Linked DNA regions of Arabidopsis thaliana. The protein of the gene in region 1 binds, or shares a complex with, the protein of each later gene. Each region holds a gene or a part of one and is shown on either strand. Other genes may lie near its edges.

Region 1 (9,970 bases):
CTTATATTTTAAATAATTTAGTTAAGGTTCATTTGAGCTGCAAAATTAAATACATAGTGAACTTATTTTACTAGATTACCAAAATTATATTGGTAAAGAAATATTGTGGCAAACTGTAAATAAGTGATGTCTTTTTGTATTTTATTCAAATAAATAGTATGATATATATGTAAAGTATGTTACTGTATACAATAATCTAAAACTTGTTACCCCATGATAAAAAAATGTGATAAATAAAATCATTTTGTTTACAATTTTTCTATCCATCATTTGTGAAAAGAAAAGAAAAGACAAGAAATGATTTTCGTATCTTGTACATATTCTCTTTACCTAATTTACGAGACGTTTGTTTAGACTTGAACACTTATTAATTAGGACATGAATCCTAAGAAGTTAAAACGTAGAGGAGTTGGAAATGACGAACTTTGTATTATTGGGGGACCCATCACAATCAAAAGTCAATTTCTCAGTATATCTTCAGAGGGAACAAATTTAATTAACACTATGGTTTTTATTCAATTATTAACATGTGACATCGTTCCCATTGCTGACCTTGCCATGAGGCACACCTTGGAAGGGCCAATATTTTCATTATCAACGTTAGGGCCACAAATAACTATATATATTAAAATTACTATTCTACAAATTACTACTATATAAATTAGTCCGTCGTAACTAATTACGATCCACACCAACTGATATAATGTAAAAATAGTAAGAAAAAGTAGTTTTCTTACCTGCTTAATCAAGGTATGTAGTTTTTGTTATAAGCATCTCTGTCAAAATTTCAGAGATTTAAAGTGTTTTGGCTTGGAGAAGTATTTGTATGGTTGAGAAAGAAAAAATGGAAACAAAACCGAAGTAACCCATTATTGCTTATCGAAAAAACAAATTTAGAAAAAACGAACCTAAACCAGTTGGAAAACGATTTTGTTAAGAAAATATAGTATTAGTTGAAATTTTCAGAAAGAAATATCTTTCTTTAAACAAAACCTAATAGGTGTCCAAAAAAAAAAAAAGAAAAATGAAGAAGAGGACAGGCTAAGCAGCAAGTAGTATGTTGCTTAGTCAAATATAAATTAAAAAATCCAAGCAATGTATACCTCCACCAAATATTTCTTTCTTGATATAATGATTCATGACAAAAGAAAGAAAAAAAACACCAAAGTCTATGATCTAGTAATTAAAAAAAGAGATATTACAAATTAGTTTCTCTTATAAGCTACTTCCTCCTTAGAGTCCCTTTTCAAACTACTATAAAACATCAAAATATCTCAAAATAAAAAGAAAATAAGAATTATTAACGGTAGAAAATTTTGTTGTTTAAAATGAACAATTATTCCATAATTAAAGTGTAATTAGGACCCACAAAATATATACAAATTTGATTCGGGTTCATAAGCCAAAAATATTACATTAATCAACGGTCAAAGGGTGATTAAGAACTTAAAGAGGCAGCAAAATAAATAAAAAGGGTAATAAATATAGAGAGACTACTTGGTAATGGGACCCACATAGCCAAAACGGCGGAGAAAATCGTCGTTTTTAGTGGCTTATAAAAAGAGGACTCGTATCGACTCTGCAACAGAACCACCTAATCTCTCCTCCTCTCCTTCTCTCTATTTTGCCGGAATACATATGATCGAGTGAAACGGCGGACAAAGCTGTCGTGTTGAGTACTAATTCGCCGTCGTTTTTCTCAGTGAAGGAGTGGTGAGAGATGTCGAGTCTCGAAGATATCAAGAACGAGACTGTTGATCTGGTATACCATTTTTTATCCTCTGTTTTTATTTTATGCTCACAAACTGTTCGATGATCTGCCTGAATGAGAGTAGATCTGTATCCACTTGGTGGCTTTAAAGTCTTTCCTTGGTTATTACTTACTCTCATTATGGTTTCGTTTTTTATATATACATTTTCATCGATTTAGTTTTGAATATGTGAAATTTGTTTAGAAAGACTATATTTTTGTTTCTGGGTAGTAATTAAGTCTAAGAAACGTTTGGAGGACATGAAGAGTTTGTTCATGAGAAAAAAGTAGATCTAAGCATGTGATATACTAGTAAACAAACAAGATAAAGAAAACAGAGTCTCTTTTTTCAGTGGTGGAGCTAGCTACGTCTCAATAAAGTCCAAACCTACTTGTACAATGTTTTGTCTTCTCTTTTTTTGGTTACTAGTAAGAATTTATTTGGTGGTATTTAGAAAAAATAAATATGACTTTAATCAAATCTGTTACTTAACACGAAGTTCGGATTTTTTTTTTGGTTGTACCTTTCCGTGGTACGTTTAACTTCTCTGTCTTTAGCAACCAACAAAAAAGAACACATCTTTTGTGCAGACGTAACTTCTTTTCTGTGTTTCTTGGGACAATAATTTGAATCTTTTTTATTAAAATGCTACTTTTACATAACTTTGGACTGTATTTACGCGACCAAGCCTCGATTTTTACGCCGGGAAGTGAGGGGAATCTTTCGGCGCGTGTGTTTCACGTCGCCATCACGTTGGTCGGTGGTGGCGGTCCCCACTTCACCACCGCTATTTCCCCCCCGCCAAAAATATTTCATTGTCACCGAACTAGTCAACGACTTTTTTCCAACTATTGTACTTATGAAACAGAGTAGATTTATCTACGGTTACAAAATCATCAAAGTTTTCTGTTTTACTTAAGAAAAGGTTTCTCCTTTTTAAGGTTTAGAAACTTGTTTTGTGTATGTGAAAGTTTGAGTTGTTTGGATTTGGTCATCTGATCGAATTTGCTTTTGATTTTTTCAGGAAAAAATTCCGATTGAGGAAGTTTTCCAGCAGCTAAAATGTTCAAGGGAAGGATTGACAACGCAGGAAGGGGAGGACAGGATTCAGATCTTTGGCCCCAACAAGCTCGAAGAGAAAAAGGTCTGATTTTGCATTTGTAGCTCTCAGATAAAATACATAGTTGGTCTCCTTTTTTTTTGTTACTGAGTGTTTGGTGATTTGTGCAATGAAAATTGACAGGAAAGCAAACTTCTGAAGTTTTTGGGGTTTATGTGGAATCCACTTTCATGGGTCATGGAAATGGCTGCAATCATGGCCATTGCTTTGGCCAACGGTGATGGTAGGCCTCCGGATTGGCAGGATTTTGTTGGTATTATCTGTCTGTTGGTTATCAACTCTACCATCAGTTTTATCGAAGAAAACAATGCTGGTAATGCTGCTGCTGCTCTTATGGCTGGTCTTGCTCCTAAAACCAAGGTATATATATGATAAGAGAATGAATGGTGTGAATTTGTTATACAGAACTTTCTGAATTTTCCCTAGAGCTAATGTTTTGGTTCTTGTTGTGATGTTTCTCTGTTTCAGGTTCTTAGGGATGGAAAGTGGAGTGAACAAGAAGCTGCTATTCTTGTCCCAGGAGATATTGTTAGCATTAAATTAGGAGACATTATCCCAGCTGATGCCCGTCTACTTGAAGGTGATCCTTTAAAGGTTGACCAATCTGCTCTAACTGGAGAGTCCCTTCCTGTAACCAAGCACCCGGGTCAAGAAGTTTTCTCTGGTTCAACCTGCAAACAAGGAGAAATCGAGGCGGTTGTTATTGCCACTGGGGTTCATACCTTCTTCGGTAAAGCTGCTCACCTTGTGGACAGCACTAACCAAGTTGGACATTTCCAGAAGGTTCTTACAGCCATTGGGAACTTCTGTATCTGTTCCATTGCTATCGGTATGGTGATTGAGATCATCGTCATGTATCCGATCCAACGCCGAAAGTACAGAGATGGAATTGACAACCTTTTGGTCCTCTTGATCGGTGGTATCCCCATTGCTATGCCTACAGTCTTGTCCGTGACCATGGCTATTGGGTCTCACAGGTTGTCTCAGCAAGGTGCCATCACCAAGCGTATGACTGCCATTGAAGAGATGGCAGGAATGGATGTCCTGTGCAGTGACAAAACCGGGACACTAACCCTCAACAAATTGAGTGTGGACAAAAACTTGGTCGAGGTTTTCTGCAAGGGTGTGGAGAAAGATCAAGTCCTATTATTTGCAGCTATGGCTTCCAGGGTTGAGAACCAGGATGCCATTGATGCAGCCATGGTTGGGATGCTTGCTGATCCAAAGGAGGTATAACCCTTTTTGGTTCACATGTTATTTGTAGTTTTACTGAGCGTCCAAGAAACATGTTCTGATGTTTGATTGGGATTTTCACAGGCTAGAGCTGGAATCAGGGAAGTTCACTTCCTTCCATTCAACCCTGTGGATAAGAGAACTGCTTTGACTTACATTGACGGCAGTGGTAACTGGCACAGAGTCAGTAAAGGTGCTCCTGAGCAGGTGATGGATCTTAATTTTACAAGCTAATCCTTTTTTTTTCTTACCTTTCTTTTTTATACTGATTTGATTCTCCCAACAGATCCTCGAACTTGCCAAAGCCAGCAATGATCTTAGCAAGAAGGTGCTCTCCATTATTGACAAGTATGCTGAGCGTGGTCTTAGGTCGTTGGCTGTTGCTCGCCAGGTACTTATTCGCCATTAATACTGATAGTTCCAGTCCCTTTTTGCTTTTCTTTTCTCAGTGGTAACAAATGTTCAACTGTTTGTCTTCTTATTCCCTTTTGTAGGTGGTGCCAGAGAAAACAAAGGAAAGCCCAGGTGCGCCATGGGAATTTGTTGGCTTGTTGCCACTTTTTGATCCCCCAAGACATGACAGTGCTGAAACAATTCGACGGGCTTTGAATCTTGGTGTTAACGTCAAGATGATCACTGGTAAATTTGTCTACCCATCTATCTTGTTGTGCTAGCTATACACCTTCACAAGTTCCCCCTAACATTCTCTTGAACACATATGTGGCCAGGTGACCAACTTGCTATTGGTAAGGAAACTGGTCGCAGACTTGGAATGGGAACAAACATGTATCCATCTTCGGCTCTTCTTGGTACACACAAAGACGCAAACCTCGCATCCATTCCTGTTGAGGAGTTGATTGAAAAGGCTGATGGATTTGCCGGAGTCTTCCCAGGTTATAATCTGCTTATTTATTGTTTGGATTATAAACCTCACTATATGTTCATTGCAAAGGTGGTGATGTTAGTTCTAAGCTTTGTTTTTTTTATTGCAGAGCACAAATACGAAATTGTGAAAAAGTTGCAGGAGAGGAAGCATATTGTTGGAATGACTGGTGATGGTGTCAATGATGCCCCTGCTCTAAAGAAAGCTGATATCGGTATTGCTGTTGCTGATGCTACAGATGCTGCTCGTGGTGCTTCAGATATCGTGCTCACTGAGCCTGGACTCAGCGTTATTATCAGTGCTGTTCTCACCAGCAGAGCTATTTTCCAGAGAATGAAGAACTATACTGTGCGTCTTCTCCTATTTTTCATCCTTAATTTATTCCAACCACTTGCTTGCTTGCAATTGAAACTAATTACTCTGTTCTATTTTTCTCTCTTGTTACAGATCTATGCAGTCTCAATCACCATCCGTATTGTGGTATGCAAATAAATCCGTTTGAGTTCTGGCCCTTGTTGGTTTTATCTTGGATTAATAGTATGCTGATCATATTGCGTTGAAACTTTTTGCAGTTTGGTTTCATGCTTATTGCTTTGATATGGGAATTTGACTTCTCAGCCTTCATGGTTCTGATCATTGCCATTCTTAACGACGGTGAGCAATGGCTGTCCTTTTGTATAAACCTCAAAATTTGTTTACTTTTTCTACAATGTTTACTTATATCTTTTGGTATTGTGTTGCTATCTTGATCTTATAGGTACCATCATGACAATCTCAAAGGACAGAGTTAAGCCATCTCCCACACCTGATAGCTGGAAACTTAAAGAAATTTTTGCTACTGGAGTCGTTCTAGGAGGCTACCAGGCCATCATGACTGTTATTTTCTTCTGGGCGGCGCACAAGACTGACTTTTTCTCGGTACATACAATTGAGCTAATTAATTTCTCTTTTACAGAAGTTTTTTCTTAGGTTCTTGTTCAGAGTTGTAAAGTAAATTTCACATTGGATTCACAGGACACATTCGGTGTGAGGTCCATTAGGGACAATAACCACGAGCTAATGGGTGCGGTGTACTTACAAGTTAGTATCATTAGTCAAGCTCTGATCTTCGTCACAAGATCAAGGAGTTGGTCTTTTGTTGAACGTCCTGGAGCATTGCTGATGATTGCTTTCCTCATTGCACAACTGGTAAGTTCATCAAATCAACATTTTAAGGGAATTCTTGTTTGGTAAAAAGGTTCTCAAAGAAGCACCCGTTAAATCCATTCATTCTTCCAAATGCAGATTGCTACTTTGATTGCGGTTTACGCCAACTGGGAATTTGCAAAGATTAGGGGTATTGGATGGGGATGGGCTGGTGTGATCTGGCTATACAGTATTGTCACATACTTCCCATTGGACGTTTTCAAGTTTGCCATTCGATACATCTTGAGCGGAAAGGCGTGGCTCAACTTGTTTGAGAACAAGACGGCTTTCACGATGAAGAAAGATTACGGAAAAGAAGAGAGAGAGGCTCAATGGGCACTTGCTCAAAGGACACTTCACGGTTTACAGCCAAAAGAAGCTGTTAACATCTTCCCTGAGAAAGGAAGTTACAGAGAATTGTCTGAGATCGCTGAGCAAGCTAAGAGAAGAGCTGAGATCGCTAGGTAATAAATCCGATCACACACGATTCTTTTTAATCTAAGTGTATTTTTTTGTTGGAATTAAACACTAATTGAATTGTTATATGTTAAACAGGCTTAGGGAGCTGCACACACTCAAGGGACATGTGGAATCAGTCGTGAAGCTAAAGGGCTTGGACATTGAAACTCCCAGTCACTACACTGTGTAGTAAAACCAAACATATGACTGATCTTCGATCCTCTCATGTTTTGTCTTCTTCTTCTTCTTTTTTTCTTCACCACCTCTTATGATTATTATTCACATAGGGAGAGATCTTTGTTTATTGCCATAACTCTTCCCAAACCTTATTGTTAGTGTTCTTGTTTCTCAAATATGTACTTTTGCATAATTTGCTCTTTTGAAGAAACAAGGCATGCCTTTGTGTTTGGCATTTGGCACATGCACATTCTCTTCTTTGCTCTTATTCCATGAGCCTATGTAATCTTAATCTTCTTCTTTTTCGTAATCCAACTTTTCTTCCGGCTTCTTTACTTTTATATATAGTACCTAAATGTTATTTATACCTAGGGACAACAAACAATTTGCTTATTTAAATCAAATTTTGTTTGTTGTAAAGAAGGGAAATAACCATAATTTTTTCTTTTTTTTTTTCACTGAAACCAAATCAATTAAATAACACTATCCTTTAAAAATGCCATTAAAAACATGACATGAGACAAGTTGTGTGGAAGTAGTACGGCTAGAATCTTAAGAGAAATAGAGAGATTTGGATGCGTGCGAGTGACTGTGAGACACGTGCAAAGATATGGATGATGACTTCAAATCAATGTTATGACTTTCATAGTTTACACATATGTCATCCAACTTTCCTCCTTTTTAGATATTTACAATTTCGGCGTTTTGTTTTTCATATTCATCGAATTTTTTGGAAAGTAATTCTAGTCCAGTAGTCCTAATTTTTGTTTACATTTTAATGGTGCACCTGTAGTTACTGCAGCTGGAACATATTGGTGATCTCTACTAATGTGTAGCTTTTATTTAATTGAAGATTTGTTACATCTGATTTTTTGTAGTCGAAAGTTCATATGTTTTCGCTAAAGGAGAAAAAAAACTTGCAGGAATATAAATATATACACAAACACAAAGTTTGTCAGGTTAAAATGATTAGAATATTAAAGTTTGGAGATTTGCTCATAACATTAAAATAATAAATTCAGGAAAAAAAGACAACATAAGAGTTTTATTTTAGGCAGCACATCGTCTATTTGGCATTACAACCAATAATTTAAATTTCAATCAGATTTTGATCGAATTTTATAAGATGTACGTATAAACGGCCATGTGTGGTACTTTAGGTATTTCGGTAACCATGATTAATTAAGAAAAGGAAAAAAGAAAAACACTATAATACATGCTCTTGTTCTTAAAGAAATCAAGAGAAAAAAAAAAACACAGATGATTTTCGTTTAAAGACAACAAAAAAAACATGAAACAAACTATAAATTATACACTTAAACTAAAAGTCAAGTACTATCTTGAACAATGGACTTGAGAGCAATCGTCTGCAACTCAAGACATTTAATGTAGTTACCAATCTCACTCAACATTTCTTCCACATTCATCTCTTCCCCACCTGGCAAAAGCTTCTTCAATTCCCTCAGTCTCTCCTCTATCCCTCCTTCTTCGTTTCCGCCTTCTTTATCGGGTCTTTCAAGAATCCGAATTCCATCGGAAGAAGAACTAGTGGTAGTGGTTGGATTCGATGAGGACGATAGCTTCTGCAGCAAGAAACGGCTCCATGCAAATTCTTGAGCAGACAAAGCCAAAGCCATATCTACTTCATGCTTCACGGTTTGTTTTGAAGAGTTCTTGTTCATGTTGAGCTTCTTGAGTGCAGGAACCAAGTGGCTTGTGTATTTTCTCGTGAAAACTGCACTAGGGTTCTTGTTTGGTTCAAGAGAAAACACTCGTTTCTTCCTGTTTATGATTTGCCTCTCCATATGAGAAACTATTTTTGCTGCAAATGAAAGTCTACAAGGGAGAAAGTTACATATATAGCAAACTTAGAATATGAGAGAGACAAAGAAAGAGAAGAGCGGTGTCCTACGTTTGTTTGTATATAACAAGCGTTGATGATGTATAAAGTAAAGTTGTAGAACTTAATTTTCTTTGTATACATATATGAGGTAATATGTTTGGGAGTGTTATTATTTTTCGTTCACGTACAAAACACAAGACTATTTGAAAGTCGTAGTTAGTAGTTTTCTTTTTTAGACAAATATTTTAAAAACAACGGAATTTGAATATCATCAACTAATATATGTTTTTTTGTATAATACATTTATTTTTAGAAAATACACGAAAACAAAAAGAGAGTGTGTATATATATATATATATATATATATATACATAAATAAAGAGAGAAAAATAAGAAAAGAAGAATTTGGGAATAATAATGGGTGAGGGAAGAAAAAACACATGGAGTCACATGCAAGAGCTCTAATTTGGCTGCATCACAACTACCCCTAAAGAGGTGCTTTGAGAGACCCTTTTACCATGTGGCTCCATTCCAAGAACAAGACATCAATACAAAACCCCACCTTCTCTTAATGCTTTCACATGTTCCTTCCTCTTAACCTCTCTCTCTCTCACTCACTCACTCACACACTTTGTATATACATAATACATGTATGCATGTGTATGTGTCCTTGGACCAATCTCCTAATTAGTTTGATCAATCTATGTCATTTCTACCCATATTATCTTAATATAGATCTCCCTCATATTATATATACCATTTGACCTTCTTTTTTTTTATGCTGCATGTGTGATGAATTTGGGTTTCACTACCCACTACTTTTGCGATATTTGGATACAGATGGTAACTTGCTAAACAGAAATTTAGTTATTATTAGTGGTAGTTCAATTGGTGATCTGTACAACATATCAAGACAAACATCTTTGAAACTGAATTTTACTGCCACTGTAACTAATATGACGTAGATACAAGTTTCTTTACTACGCATATTAACATAAAGTTAAGATGCATGTGGTCAGTAATTGGGTTATTAATACGTTTTATTTGTCAAGGACTTTTAGTCGTGATTTTTTGATTCTAAGCATCATTGCATTCCAGGTTTAAAGATGACTTTAATTTTTCCTATAGGATTTGTAAATAGATAAATATAGTTTATGTTGACACAAAAGGTCACCTTTGATATGATATGAAAGTCTGGGTGTTACTCATTTGTTATTTTATTTTTATTTTTTAAAATATATACCGAATCATTTAGATATATATATATATATATATATATAATAATAATAATAATAATAATAACAATAAAATGTCCAAAC
Region 2 (8,239 bases), on another chromosome or scaffold:
TGAGATAGAACTCTCTCAAGGAGAAACGGATAGGTTGAGAATCAACTCTAAACCAAAGAGTTGATCCTTTTGTTTTCACTCTCTGCTGCATGAGATAGTGAAAGATTTTTCCAGAAAATCTAATTCCCTTCTTAGCCTTCATTTTTAGTCCCAATTCAACTAGAGGACCAAGAAACGAACTTCTAATCTTCTGAAATTAACACTCGCCTAAAGCTTCCTCTACTTTACTAACTAAATTCCAATCCGAGTATTGTTGAACGGTTCCCAGTGCAATAGATTCCTCACCTTCTTTGTAGATTTGTTCAGGCAATATAAGGATTTCGCTCTCTGAATCCATCTGCAAAACATGTTATGAAACAGCGTCAGATCTACTATAAAATTGACTATAAAATCGATTATAAAAACGGTTACCGGCGGATCTATCGATATCTCTGGGGATTGTTTGCGTCGTAGAGAAATGATCTGAATCCTTCAGCGAAGAACAGGTTTATCGGAGAGGAAATTCATCGGCGATTTTGGGGTTTCTCAGAAAGAAAATTCGTCGGCGATTTTGAGTGAAATCGGAGAGGAAATTCGTTGGCGATTTTGAGTGAAATCGGAGAGGGAATTCGTCGGCGATTTTGAGTGAAATCGGAGAGGAAATTCGCCGGCGAGATTGAGTGAAATCGGAGATGAAAATCGGAGAGGAAAACGAAGAAGTTTGTGCCGAAGAAGTTTGTGAAACCAACGTGAAACCTAATCATTCAGAGGGTAAGACAGTCATTTGGCATATTAGAAGGGGTAGTTTTAAAAATGGACTTCAGGAAAGGGCACTTTTACAAAAGGTTATTAGAATAATGGCAGTTTTGCAAATCTCCCTTAAGACAAAGATGCTCATGTACCAATACTCTAAGGGGGAAACGTAAAAAAATGTGTAAACTTTCAAATTTAGAACAAAAAAAAAGTGTAAAATATTATTTAAATCACAAAGTTTAGTTTAATTTTTTGCTAAAATGGTTAAGTTTCTTTGACTTGGCCATTTTTTCTTCTATAATTTAGGAAAGAATAATTTCCAAATATAAAAAAAAACTTTATTTATTAAATTAAATATCTGAAATTTCAAAATCTATATTATGGTAAATATATTTAATAGTATATATTTGTAATTTTATTATTTTTAATTTATTGTATTTTTTATTAGTTGTATATTGTTATTTTTTAGTATATATATATATATATATATTGTTTGTAATATATTAAATTGTTGACATATCTCAGCGATGGGGTATCTCTTATGAGTACAAAAGGCCAACAGTACGATTATCCTAGGAAGCATTTTCCATTTATTTTCTATTAAAACTACGTTGTTTGGTAAACTCCAAAACAAAATCGTTTTAATTTAACGGAGAATTGTAAAGGAAAGTTATCCCCGTTAACGGAAATTTAACGACTTGCCGAAAATGGCAAAGTTGATAAAACTTCACTTTTTTTGCAAAAAGTCAAACTAAACCGTATGATTTAAATGACATTTTGAAAAGTTCATGCTTTTTTGTCTCAAATTTAAAAGTTTATGCATTTTTCGATATTTTTTTTTATATTTATCATCATACATAAGTTTTAAACTTTTAATGCTCTTTTTCTTTTTCCTTGTATTTTATTTGTTATATTTTTGGCTGTTTTCATGTAGTGTGGAAGAAAAGCCAGAAGTGAACATCTTCACTATCGAATCTGTAGTCAATCTTTGAAAATTTTTAAGGAACCATTATAGGAAGCGTACTAATCTATAAATTTGTGGTCTTTGGGGACTGAGAAATCGATATATAGAAAACCTTTCTAATGAAGCAAATATTATATTTTGACCTTACAAAGTCATAATCTTTGAATTCTTTTGGTCAAATGAGTTGAACAATATTTTCACACCCATAAAAAATAAGTTAATGTAATGGATTCTTAACAAAAAATTGACTATAGTTGGCCAAAAGGAATTCTTTTGTTGAAGACCAAAAGGAATTTAGCTACCAAATATATATATTTTTTAATTAAACCAAAAATCTCTAAAAGGTATAACATAATCAACAGAGTATCCACAAAGCAAATCACAGAATAAAGATGTAACACAAATTATTAATCTATGTTGCTCATTTAAATTGCTTGAGACATGTTTTTTCAAGAACTCATTATTTCTGAAACACTACAAAAAGATTTTTCATTTTTCTGAGACAGTATATGTTCTGTCTAGTATCTTTAATGTCTGAATCTGAATCATAAACTGAGATAAAAAAAATGGAAGAAGAAAACGAAGAAACAAATTATTATCTGAAAACTATTTACATTGTATCTCAAAAGTATGAAAATCACTCCCTACAAAATGTATCATAGTGTCTCTGATATTGTTCCTCTTTCTTCTAGACATCATCAAGCCAAGAGACTAACTGTTGAGTCGTTGGCCTCTGTTTCGGGTTTTCGCTTAAACATAAACAAGCAATCTCGAGAACCCGAAACATCTCTTTATCATTCTCTTTACTGTATATTAACGGATCGAAAACCTCGCTTGCTCGACTCTCATGCTTCATCTTGACGACCCACGAGATCAGATCCCTACACCCTTTCGGTTTACACATATCCACCGGTCTTTTATCGGTTAAAAGCTCGAGAAGCACAACTCCGAAACTATACACATCGCCTTTGTAAGTAGCAACCGAAGCTTGCCCGTATTCCGGAGGAATGTAACCTAAAGTTCCAACCAAATCAGTACTTACATGCGTCTCGTAAGGACTCATCAGCCTTGCGAGTCCGAAATCCGCTAAATGAGAGTTGAAATTCTCGTCGAGAAGAATATTACTCGATTTAATATCGCGGTGTAAGATATGAGGATCACACCCTTCATGCAAGTAAAGTAACCCTTTTGCAGCACCTTGAGCGATTCTAAGACGTGTTTTCCACTTCAACAACGCTGGACCGTCGTTACGCTCGTGTAGCCAATAGTCTAAGCTTCCGTTTTCCATATACGAGTAGATTAAAAGCCGGTCGTTTTTGTAGAAACAGAATCCTCGGAGAAGAACAAGATTTGGATGCTGTGCTCTTGAGAGTGTTTCAACTTCTGCTTCGAATTCTCTTTCGATTTGACCGCAATCACCGGATAACTTCTTGATCGCAACTTTCTTACCGTCTGGTAACGTTGCTTTGTAAACCATACCAAACCCGCCACAGCCAATGATGTTAGCTTGATCAAAACTATTTGTTGAGTCCAAAAGGTCATCATAAGAGAGCTCTTTATCATTGCTCTGAAACAAAACCACAAGCTTAGATCCAATCTCTCCGAGTTCTTTACGATTCATGCTCTCGGATTCTTCTATCTCCGGATCAACTTCTCCTGACCGTCTACGAGCACGCAACACAATCAACGAGAGAAGAGTCAAAAGAAAAACCGAACCAAACGCTATCCCAATCGCCATTCCAATGTCACCTCCTCTGCTTCTTCTTGACCGTTTGATCAATGCACTCTCAGTACCTTCAGAACAGGGGAATCTGTGTTCCCCGCAGAGATGGTTACTCTCAAAGCTCGAGTTTGGAAACGTCTGAAACTGACCACCGGAAGGTATTACTCCCGAGAGATTGTTATAAGCAACACTGAACTTCGACAGAAACGAGAGCTGTTGCAGAGAAACCGGGATCGAACCCGAAAGACGGTTATTAGAGAGATCAAGAGCTTCCAAGCTCGTCATACCAGAAAGCGAGCTAGGTATTGATCCAGATAATGCATTCCATTTCAAATCAAACACATGAAGCTTCTTCAGATTACCAAACTCCTCCCAAATAGGTCCAGAGAGATTGTTATGACCAAGCTCAATCGTTGGCGGGAACCCGAAAATCTGATTGTATTGCAACGCTCTCGCGCTCTCGTTTCTTTTCATAAAGAACGGGAAATCAGGAGATGGCTCATTGACTGAGATATTACGGCTAGTGAGACTCTCTAACTTAGTTAAGCTCTTAGGGATCTCTCCTGTAAACGAGTTGTTAGATAAATCCAAGTAGAACAGAGCCTTGAAGTCACCAATCCAGCTCGGGATAGCGCCGGTTAAACGGTTCCAAGAAAGATCCAACAACTGAAGTTCATTACTCGAGCTTAACCACCTCGGCATCGAACCAGTAAGCCTACAATTCGCCACTACAAGCACCTTAAGCTTCTCGAAATGAAGACTTGAATCATCGGGTAAAGCCTCTCCATGGAAATTCAATGTAAGAACCAAAGTCGTCAAGTTCTTGCAATGCTGAAGTATCCCAAGCGCTGAAGAGATATTAGCCAAACTCGAATTCGATAACGAGAAGTAAGATAAGCTCTCGAAGTTCTTGAAACTCTCTGGTACTTGTCCATGGAAGGTGTTCCTCGCGAGGTTAACGTTCTTTAACCGCTTGCAATCCGGTAGATTCTCAGGTAACCTCCCATTGAATCTATTGGTACCTAAATCAAGAGAGTTCAAAGCAATCATCGCCGTACAATTCAACATCAAACGACCCGATAAAGAATTGTTCCTCAAGTTAAGCAGATTCAAACTCGGTGAATTCGCCAACGATTTAGGTATTCCTCCAATGAATCCATTGGTCTGACCTAAGAAAAACTTTAACTGAGGCAATTCGTCGAACACATCAGGGATTTCACCGGAAAACAAATTCCAAGAAACATCAAGACGAACAAGACTTGAGAGATTCCTAATCTCACGACTCAACGAACCAGAGAGACGATTCTCTTGAATCCCTAAAAGATTCAATCTTTTGAGATGAAACAAATCCTCAGGGATGTTACCAGTAAGATCGTTCATACCAAGACAGAGATGCTCAAGCAAGACACATTTCCCAAACCCGGAAGTGAAGTTTCCGGCGAAGTAGTTCACCGCAAGTTTCACAACCCTAATTTGAGTAGAGTTATGGCAGATATGAGACGGAAGCGACCCATTGAATTTATTTGAAGAAAGATCAAAACTTTGCAGAGCTGGGAGATTTATACTTGTTGGGATTCCGCCGGAGAGATCATTAGAGCTCAAATCAAGAGTTTGTAGATTCTTCAAGTTGAAAATCGAAAGAGGGATCGAATCTTTGATGAAGTTTCGAGAGAGATTAAGAACCCTAATCTCATCTAGCTTCCCGAGAGATTCAGACAACTTCCCCGACAGCTTTTTGTTCCCAAGCTCCAATCTAATAACTCTTCCGGTGTTGTTTGAATTGCAGGTGATTCCGGTCCAGTTGCAGCAGTCTGTAGAAGAAGAAGAATTGATCCAACCATCTGGTTTTGGTTCGAGATGTGCTATGAAGTCACGTAAGGCTTCGAGGTCATGTGGATGGCACCTGGAGGTGGTCTGAGATTCCGAGGAATAGAAGAAACATAGTAACTCTGTGAGGAAGATGACGATCACACAAAAACGATGAACACGCATTTCAAGAACAGAGGAAGAAGAAGAAGAATATAAAGGAAGAAACTTTGAGAGAAGAATTAAGATTCAACAAAAACCCTTGAGAAATCTGAGAGTATACGAAACGGGTTTTCTGATTATTGCCATTTTAGATGATGATCAATGAAGATGAAGAAGCAAGAGAGAGAAAAATGGCGACTTTTGACTTCAACACGCAACAGCAAGTAGTGGGTGTTGTTTTAATGCAAGCAAAATTCTAGAGAGAGATAGAAAGTGGAAGAGTTGTGTTTGGTCTTTTTTCTGATACAGAGCAAACAGTAAAAATCTTTAAATAAAGAAGAAGAAGAAATAAGAAGCTTTGAATAAATATTATTTTTCCAAATATTTTGTGAATTAATTTGTGTTTTTGGAAAATTTGTTATAGACAAATCTTTTCCGTGTTTTGTCAATTATAATTGAGTGTGTTTAGTCATATATGAAGTCTTAATCAATAACATTGACTTAGGAAAGTCTTTCTCTAAATATTTTTTTTATTTTTTTGTCTAAATCTTTTACTTTGAATAGTTTGTCGTTCAACGGATAGGCAGAAGAAAATTTGGAACGATTAATGAATAATGAATGATGAAAGTGATCGAATTTAGAAAAATATATGCAAAATTATGTGACTATAAATGTTTCTTTATGGTTTTTTGCCGATTATTCTGCAAATGGTAGATTTATATTTTAGTAGTTTCTATGCAATAAAAAGGTAAAGGAGTAGCTTTTATTAATTATATTGATTTTATTTTGCAAATGGTTAATTTTTATATTAAAATTTGATTATGGGTTAATTGAATAATAATTAAAGATGACCGGAGAAGAAGGGAGTGACCGGTTAGGTCAGCTTTGAGGATTTAAGATGAGGACAAGAGAAAAGATAGAAGTCAAAGCACGGACGTTGACACCTTTGCATCTCTCTCTCTTCTCAACTACAATTTTTTTTTTTTTCTATTTACATTAATTATTGACATTGTTTCTCTTTTTTCGCAAGTTGATAATGAATGAAAATAGACCTACTAGATATTCTTTAGTTTCCGATAAAAGCTTCGGAAAAAAATCTTGAGTTTTTTCCATAAAATCTTGAAATACTTCAAAGAGGAAGGTTATCAACTTAATTGTTGTATTTGTTGGTTAAAAGAATCTAATATAGGAGCTATTTTTTTTTAGCTATTTACATGTCCAAATCAATACGTTATAATTCCAATCAAATTACTAATATTAATTTCATATGACCGGACTTGTATAACTTGAAGTTTATAATATCACTATACAATAACTTGACTTCTAATTTAGAAGTATAACTATAAAAGTGTAACGTATGTGAGTTGTAGACGATAAAAAAATAAAAGAACGGTTATATATAAACTATTTTATATTTTATATAAAAGAAACTAAAAAATAGTCGGTATAGGAACATAAATTTCATTGCTTTTTTCTTCAGTTTTTTTATCACCAATTTTCATTGCTAAAGGATTATTTTTTGTCGTTAATACTTTTTTCTTTTAAAAACGACAAATTTAGGATGCGTTAATATTACTTTTATATGTAACGCTATCCTAAATTTTGTCGATAGAATCCGTTATTAATTAATTGGAAAGAATCGAAAAAAAAAAATTAATCTTGGCAGTTAAAAAATGGATTCTCTTATACCTTTGTAGTAATATACACGTTATAGATTGTTCGAAAAAAAGAAAAGGATAATAGATTGTCATTTTAACAAAATAAAACCAAAAAGTCTCACATTTTCTTGCCATGATTTATTTCTTAAAGAAAAATAGGCTGTTTACACAACTTTCTTTGATGGTTTACTTGATTTATAAGTAAATGAGGACAATATGGGTGAATGGTGAATTGAACATAGACATAAAAGACTATATTGCTTAATAAACTAATTAGCCTACATTCAAAGTTGGTTTACCATATAAGAAATCACTTATATAGTTTTCCTAGTGTGTGCATGATCTTTCATAAAGAGATTAAATATTGTTTTACGTGGAAAAGTTAAGATACGATTCCATGTTAATAATAAAATATTAATGTCGATATCTATAATGAAGGAGACAGTCAAAGCATGTGACATCGACTATTCAACTCTATAATTAATCTTCAATACCATGTGGCTCGTAATGGCTTCGATATAATCGGCTTTCGTTAGTCTTTTATAGGTTCTTTTTTTCTTCTGAAAATTGACTTACTAAGTTTTATAGTTTATTATAGCTAATTTTGATATATATGATATTACAAATAGTGTGACTTTGATTGGTAATAAACTAATAATACTCTTGCTGGTTGTTGCTAACATACAACGATTTTTTTTGGTAAAAAAGTATAAATTAGAATGTAAATAAAGATGACTGATATTTACCCTTTCTAATATTTTCCTACCTTTCCCGTATGTCTCTAAAACTCCTAAAATATACTACGATCCTAACTACTAAATTTATAGGAAAAATACCCAAAATAGAAAAAAACTTTGTAGTTTGACCCAAAAAAACATTGCAGTTTAAATAGAAAAACGAAACAAATGTGAAAGATAATATTTGAAAATGAAATAAAAAAATGCTCTTGCTTTGTTACACAACACAATTCACAATCTTTCAGAGTTTAAAAGCTCAACTATTTCTATTCACTAAAAACCCAAGGTTGTTGTTTTCGTAATGTGTGCAACAAAGCCCATAGTATAGTTTTTCTTAAAAGCCTTCGAAGTTAGATTAGAACTGACCCAGTTTTACTTGCTTGGGTTTGTTGTATTCACATCACAAAAAGCCTTGATCTTTTCTGTTTTCTCAACAAATCAAAATAACCATATACAC

The links. Proteins that work in one complex are often made in the same cells at the same time.
Region 2: HA2 (region 1) and PSKR1 share a complex: the UniProt entries of both Arabidopsis thaliana proteins name them as parts of the functional complex.

What each region holds. Positions count from the first base shown.
Region 1 is NC_003075.7:14,767,671-14,777,640, reverse strand, and holds HA2 (H[+]-ATPase 2), read left to right. Parts: upstream 1-1,582; 5' UTR 1,583-1,720; coding exon 1,721-1,762; intron 1,763-2,775; coding exon 2,776-2,895; intron 2,896-2,994; coding exon 2,995-3,231; intron 3,232-3,339; coding exon 3,340-4,101; intron 4,102-4,188; coding exon 4,189-4,311; intron 4,312-4,390; coding exon 4,391-4,495; intron 4,496-4,598; coding exon 4,599-4,743; intron 4,744-4,832; coding exon 4,833-5,335; intron 5,336-5,434; coding exon 5,435-5,467; intron 5,468-5,559; coding exon 5,560-5,641; intron 5,642-5,744; coding exon 5,745-5,905; intron 5,906-6,001; coding exon 6,002-6,175; intron 6,176-6,271; coding exon 6,272-6,636; intron 6,637-6,727; coding exon 6,728-6,821; 3' UTR 6,822-7,076; downstream 7,077-9,970. Other genes in the region: AT4G30180 (uncharacterized protein), read right to left, coding at 8,137-8,613. UniProt on the Arabidopsis thaliana protein: The plasma membrane H(+) ATPase of plants and fungi generates a proton gradient that drives the active transport of nutrients by H(+)-symport. The resulting external acidification and/or internal alkinization may mediate growth responses.
Region 2 is NC_003071.7:581,714-589,952, forward strand, and holds PSKR1 (phytosulfokin receptor 1), read right to left. Parts: upstream 5,689-8,239; 5' UTR 5,412-5,688; coding exon 2,385-5,411; 3' UTR 2,084-2,384; downstream 1-2,083. UniProt on the Arabidopsis thaliana protein: Phytosulfokine receptor with both a serine/threonine-protein kinase activity and a guanylate cyclase activity.